2 linked regions of the Macaca mulatta genome follow. The protein of the gene in region 2 interacts with the protein of the main gene of each other region in a pairwise test. Links are inferred from orthologs where the notes say so. Each region holds a gene or a part of one and is shown on either strand. Other genes may lie near its edges.

Region 1 (3,818 bases), about 59 Mb from region 2:
TGTCACGCCAGATAAAACTACGAAAGGAGAAGCGCTTGAGCTGCACGATGAGAACATTTGGCAGGCGCCATAGCAACAGCTGCTTGGAGGCCTCACGGTGCTGTTTGCACTGTGGGCAGTACCTGGTGGGAACAGAGGTTGGGTCAGGACCAGCAAGTCTCTCTCTTCTCCGTCCTGCCCCCTTATCTGCTTGCTGCTCTGTTCTCACCAGGCCTCCTCGGGTGCCAGCACCTCAGGCCGTGTGAAGAGGTTGAGGCACTGGTCCAGGGTGAAGTGGCCGGCCCGGGCAGCCTCACCGGCAGAGCCTGGATCCTCAGCACATTCCAGCTCCTTGGAGGCTACCAACACAAACTCCTGCAAACGCTCATTGTTCCTCCAGACGAGAGCCAGGCTACAATCGTCACCCAGCTCCAGTGGGGTGTCTCCTGGAGATTGGCAGGGAGAGAGGTCATGCAGCTGTGGAGAACAGCCAGCTCAACCCACCCCATGGCTCTCACCCACGGCCTCAGACACCTTTGTCCTCTAGCCGCTGCTCTCGGTTGGATGAGTCAATTTTATAGATGAAGAACTGTGGTGTGTGGGCATTCATAGCTTCACTTGGGTGCTGGTACCCAGGCACAGCGGCTGTGTGAGAACATGATAATCAAAGCTTCCCTGCCCATCAGGGCCTCACCAGGCCCACGAGGTCCTAAACAACAGCCCCCCCATCCTCCCCTACCTTCCTCCCCAGCTCCCAGAGCTTTTCACTGGATCTTACCTTCGGGTCGGGACACCCTCTCGCCAGCAGGCAAGGAGCCAACCTCAGTGGGCCCACTGGCCAGTATCTCAGAAGAAATTCCACTGGTGCTGGGCACAGGACCCCGGTCAGGGGCTGCCCACACCCGGGGAAGCCCTGTGTCCCCCTCAGCCATAGGGGTCACCAGCTGGAGCTCAGGTGGCTGAATGGGGTCCCTCTCACTGTCCCCAGCCTCCAGGGAGCCAGTGGAGAGCAGTGTGGTGCAGCCAGGGCTCTGAGACTCCAAGGCCATGCGGCCAGGCTGAAAGGGTGGCTGGAACACACTCACAGAGTACCTGGCAACAGAGAGCAAGGCAAGTAGGACTCCTGACCAGCCCATCTAGCACCTCTGCTCCCACCTACACCACTCTAGTCCAACCACTAGGCACTTACCGGGCATAGCCCTCTAGCAGCTGAGCAAGGCGGGCATAAGTGAGGCGTGAGGCAGGTACACTGACCAGGAAGGGGTAGCCAATGTTCTCAGGTCGGCAGAGGCCCTTGTGGTCAGGCCAGTGGGTTTTCTGGCAGAGCCTGAGGGGAAGAGGAAGACAAGGATAAGGCCTTTAGCCCCATCTCCTATAACTCCATAATGGGGGCTAGTCATAGTCCCTGGGAACTGGGTATGCCAGCCCTGCCTCCCCCAGAACCTGGTGAAGTAGGCAAGTAGAAAGCTTAAGCACATGTGCCTTGGTGTGAAGGGAAGGGGCAGGGTGGCACATGGAAGGTGGAAATAAAGGGTCGGGGAGACGATGGGGGTCCTCACTGGTTGCAGTAGCCCACACGGTAGCACCGGGTACAGCGCTTCAGCTTTTCATCCTCCGACTGTTGCTTCCGCTGGCAGGCTGCACACTTGGAGATGGGGACGCTGGGCACCTGGGGGCGCTAGGGTGGGTCGTCTGGCTCAGCAAGACCAGGCAGGAGTACCCCACCCACCGGGGCCCTATGCCATCAGGTTGGCCCCCACTCACCTGTTGCACCTCTAGCACCACTACCCGCTCCTTAGCCAACTCTGGGGATAACAGCTCAAAGCAGAGGAGCATATCAGATGGGGACACAGTGTCCAGTGAGTGGGAGGGCAGGAACACACGATGGAAACGATTCTTAATTACCTGAGGACACAGAACACACAGATCCCACATGAGGATAAGCCCTTTCCCTAGCCCTGCCCCAGAGTTTAAGAAGGCTTGGCCCGTCCGTGGGTCTATGTGGGCAGTGGTGAGGTCTGTAGGCCCAAAGAGGCTTAGCCTCTACTGGCACCCATCTCAGTGTCCAATGCCATACGGAGCCTGATGCATCAGAGGGCCTGAAAGACCGGGTATGAGGCAGATATCAACCACACCAGCTCTCCACACTGAGGGACTCTGCCCTGCTATAACTAGAATAGCCTTATAAGACTGTAACATACTATCACGGAGGGTCCATATTCAAAGAGCCTCCTCCCAACTCTTACCCCTGAGAAAATCGACACTGTCAGGCTAAAGGCTAGGAACCCCTGGGGAGAGCTAGCACACACAACTGGGATAAAAGGAGAGAGCAGCAGGATAGAGGGAGAAGCAGAGCGAACATAGGTATAGTCCTGCAGTTCAAGCTCCTTGTCTAAAAAGGGAAATGCAGTTGGGATCCACCACCACAAAGGGGAATAAACCCTGATAATGGCTAGAAACTGAAGGCACTTCTGTTGCACAGACAAAATAACAGCACATCACCTGTTTTTGTACAGTCACAGGCATACTCATTTGTATGTCTATTTTTATTTTATTTTTATTTTTGAGTCTTGCTCTGTCGCCCAGGCTGGAGTGCAGTGGCGCGATCTCGGCTCACTACAACCTCTGCCTCCCAGGTTCAAGCGATTCTCCTGCCTCAGCCTCCTGAGTAGCTGGGACTACAGACATGTGCCAACATGCCCAGCTAATTTTTTTTTTTTTTGTATTTTTAGTAGAGGTGGGGTTTCACCATGTTAGCCAGGATGGTCTGGATCTCCTGACCTCGTGATCCACCCACCTTGTCCTCCCAAAGGGCTGGGATTACAGGCATGAGCCACCATGCCCAGCCCTATTTTTATTTTTTATCTATTTATTTATTTTTGAGACAGAGTCTCACTCTGTCACCCAGGCTGGAGTGCTGTGGTGCAATCTCTGCTCACTGCAACCTCCACCTCCCGGGCTCAAGTGAGCCTCTTGCCTCAGCCTCCCAAGTAGCTGGCACTATAAGCATGTACCACCACGCCCAGCTGCTTTTTTAATTTCTTGTAGAGACAGTGTTCCACCAAGTTGCCCAGGCTGGTCCCAAACTCCTGGGCTCAAGTGATCTGCCCACCTCAGCCTCACAAAGTGCTGGGATTACAGGCGTGAGCCACTGTGCCCAGCCCATGTGTATGTCTGTAGATGCCAATGACTATACACACGTGTCTATGGTGAGTACACACACATATCCATATATATAATAGCCCAAAGAAAGACAAAGGTACCTCCGCCAAACGCAGATTCTCAGGCTTCACACGAACGCTTTGAGAGAGGGAGTCCAATACTTCACTGGCAGTGGAGTTCTCCTTGCTGACGCTCACTAGGAACTGTGGCAAAAAGGGCAGTCAGTGAGGGAGGTGGGCCACGTTCTCTAGAACAGCCCAGAGGGTAGGGGCTTACTCCTCACCTTAATGGGCTTGCTGTGGGGCTCTCGGGCGAAATAAAAGACAGGGAGAACCTTTTGCTTTTGTGGCAAGGGCACCGGCAGATAAAGAAACGGGTCAAAAGTGATGGAGACCTGTGGATGTAGAGGTGGCACTGGGTAGCTGCACACAGAGTGGGAGACAAAATGTTCATGCCCAAAGAGCCCATTCCAGGGCTTCTGATGGCTCTCAAGGCCTCCACAGCCAACCAGCAAACTCTCAGGCTTCAGGACACTAGATGGGGCAGGAGGACCACCAGGAGATAACAATCCTCCTTTCTGGCACTCAAAGCCCTACTCAGCTTAGCCACTTTACGAATTTGCCTCACACTTGCACCCCATGTGCCCACAACCCTGCCACAACACCTCTGAGCTCTAA
Region 2 (2,974 bases):
TTAATCCCAGCACTTTGGGAGGCTGAGGCAAGTGGATCACTTGAGGTCAGGAGTTCGAGACCAGTCTGGCCAACATGGTGAAACCTCATCTCTACTAAAAATACAAAGATTAGCCGGGTGGGGTGGCATAGGCCTCTAGGCCCAGTTACTCGGGAGGCTGAGGCAGGAGAATTGCTTGAACCCAGAGGCAGAGGTTGCAGTGAGCTGAGATCATGCCATTGCACTCCAGCCTCCGTCTCAAAAACAAAAACAACAACAACAACAAAAAAGGGAAACTGGGACACTGAAGTAAGCAGCCTTCAATCCTTGCTGAGCATTTGGCCCTAATCCTCTCAATTCTTTTGAGAGTTTAGGGTTGGGACTGAGGCAGTGGGTCACCATGGATCAACCCTAGCACTCTGGATGTCAGCACTGGCCAAGCGTCTTCCTTCTGACTCTGTAAAGCAGGAGCAATCCTCTTCTTGCACAGCTACTGGCACCATCAGATAGAAACGACAGCCCTGGGAGGAGACCTGCTGCACTGACATTCAGTGGTTCAGACACGTGAGCCCGGACCCCAGTGCTGTCATGGACCCACGCCATGACTTGGCCCAGTGACTGTTTCCACAGTGGAAACAGTGAAAGTTCCAACCCCAGATGTAGTGATGAAGGTTCACTACATGAATTGCACACAGTAGATGCTCAATAAATACCCGTTATTCAATTAGGGAAATGAAGCACAACATCCATTTTTGGAAAATATTTATTAAAAAACTAGTGAATGTGGCAGAAAAACAAAACCAACACACAGCTTTAAATAGCAAGCATATGACACACCGGTTATAAAGCTTTTCCAACTCTACTGACCTCGTCTTTCACACCAGCTACTGTCGACGAGGGCTTCCGAGGGAAGCCATGTGTAAACGGGTCATCTGTACTAGTGGTGAGCAAAACTAATTACATGAGAACTATCAATGGCCATATGACTTTCTTTCCTAGGCAATCCACCCAAAACATAGGTGAGTGACCAAATCTCAGGCGTGTGTTCATGTGGATCTATAGTTCTACTAGTTTTAATTTGAGGGTTGGGGGAGGTTAGGGGATGAAACAGTAGAAAGACAAACAGTATCGGCAGAGGGCAACCTTAAAGCACCTTTAAAATCTGGACCCTTTCCCACAATTTAACCCAGTAATTCTCAAACATTACTGCTGAAAAGAATCACCTGATGAGACTGTTAAATTGGCAGGCTCCCTAAATCTGCAATTTTAAGATAAGCACTCCGGGTGATTCAGTGTCTATTAGCCAGCCATCCTATTTGAGAAACACTGTTTAAAATGCATTAAAACAATTCCTACATCCCACAAACAAAAGTAAAGGAATCTGCTGACAGTCACTGTGCTTTTGTCAATGTCAAGGGACCAATACGCGAAGGCAGGCAGGAAGGGGCCTCCCATTCCTGACACACTGATCTATAGAAGCCCTGTGCAACAGCCTGTCAAGTGTTGTTTAGGGAGTAAATACAATTTAATAAGAGTTGTTTTAGATCACAGAACAGCCTCCAAATTACCAACAGGCCAACCCCATTCATCCCAGGTTAATGAACTTTGTTGGGTTGAAGCCAGATGGGAAACTGCTGTTCAAACAAAACACGGGTAATTGTGGGTCCTGACTTGTGAAGACATATGGAATAAAACATCTATAAAAACCTTTATTAAACATAGAGCACTATGCCCAAATAATTTTGATGGTTTACGAAAGTCACATCATGGACAACATGTAGAAATAGTCACATTGATTCCAAGGTTCCCATTATCTGCAAAAAGATGTGCTATGGCTGTGTCGAAAACAAGGCAGTCGCTGTTCATGATGGCCGCAGCCACACCGTCATGAATCGACCGGGGTGTGGCCTCCCAGGTCAATCTCCGCCGGTTCCCATTCAACTCCAGTCTATAGGCAAAGTTCTCAGCTTGCTTGCGGGTGCCAATGAGCAGGACGATGGCAAAAAACTGCTGGTGGCCTTCGTACTTCTCTTGTTTCTCCAGCACCAGCATGAAGTGATGGCCAAAACATGACTGCATCATCACCCAGTCGACAGCCCCTGGCAAGTTAATGTCTGTAGCTAGAAAGACGATGTCTTCTCCTTGGAGGGTGGTAATGCTCTTGTGGGCATGCATGAGATGGGACATCACAGCTTCCAGGGACCCCTGCCACTTGCAGGAGGCACCAGGACAAGGGCAGGAGTAGGGACGGTATTCACAGATGTCTTCATGTTCTGGTTTCTCCGTATGGTGCAGGGTCAGGGAACAGCCCGTGGTGGCATACTGCAGAGAAAGAAATGCATTGAGCCATTGGGCCTTCTCAAAACTTCTATTGCTTCAACCCTCTCTGAGTACTTAACTACTCCCTTTTCCTGGCCTTAAACTGGTCTTGGCTACTTTTGCTCAAAACAAGTGAAATATTCAAGACTAAAAGTCTCAGTCTCTGCTCATCATCAATGCTGTCATGCATAAAATCAAGGGTCTTTTCCTGAACCAGAAATATGCTGTTTTCCATGCCCCCTGTTCTGCTGTCAAAAGGATAAGAACTAAAGTTCTCTTACTATGCACATCTCAAAATTGTTGAGTAAGCCCTGTAAAATCTGGTCTTCCTCATATTTTCGGTGAAGCTGTTTTTTAAAGAATTCAATTGCTTGGGGGTAGGGATGGGGTTGGGCAAGGATTATTATATTATCCCCAGATTAGTTTTTACATACAGACAATATGAACAACAGTATAATTCTATTGTCCCCCTCCACTGCTTCCTGGCTCAAACTGGTGACTGGCAGGCAGGCCGTGGGGAAGGCTGCCCTTTGGTTCCTTGCTCTTTGCTGCTGGCATGACCAGGCTAGGGCAGCGGAGGCCTGGAGGCCCCTTCATACTGCTAGAAATATTACCCCACTGTATCCTTTTGATCTTCCCTCTGGGGGGCTTTGCCCATATTTTTTGGGTGGAAGGA

Evidence for each region.
Region 1: the proteins of SIAH2 (region 2) and USP19 interact in a two-hybrid assay, tested with the Homo sapiens proteins (2 studies listed by BioGRID). The link is inferred for Macaca mulatta from reciprocal best matches to the Homo sapiens genes SIAH2 and USP19.

What each region holds. Positions count from the first base shown.
Region 1 is NC_133407.1:112,547,917-112,551,734, forward strand, and holds part of USP19 (ubiquitin carboxyl-terminal hydrolase 19), read right to left. Parts: intron 3,536-3,818; coding exon 3,425-3,535; intron 3,345-3,424; coding exon 3,243-3,344; intron 1,885-3,242; coding exon 1,744-1,884; intron 1,658-1,743; coding exon 1,539-1,657; intron 1,307-1,538; coding exon 1,169-1,306; intron 1,072-1,168; coding exon 758-1,071; intron 625-757; coding exon 514-624; intron 426-513; coding exon 209-425; intron 123-208; coding exon 1-122. UniProt on the Homo sapiens protein: Deubiquitinating enzyme that regulates the degradation of various proteins by removing ubiquitin moieties, thereby preventing their proteasomal degradation. Stabilizes RNF123, which promotes CDKN1B degradation and contributes to cell proliferation.
Region 2 is NC_133407.1:53,778,888-53,781,861, forward strand, and holds the end of SIAH2 (E3 ubiquitin-protein ligase SIAH2), read right to left. Parts: intron 2,302-2,974; coding exon 1,744-2,301; 3' UTR 713-1,743; downstream 1-712. UniProt on the Homo sapiens protein: E3 ubiquitin-protein ligase that mediates ubiquitination and subsequent proteasomal degradation of target proteins.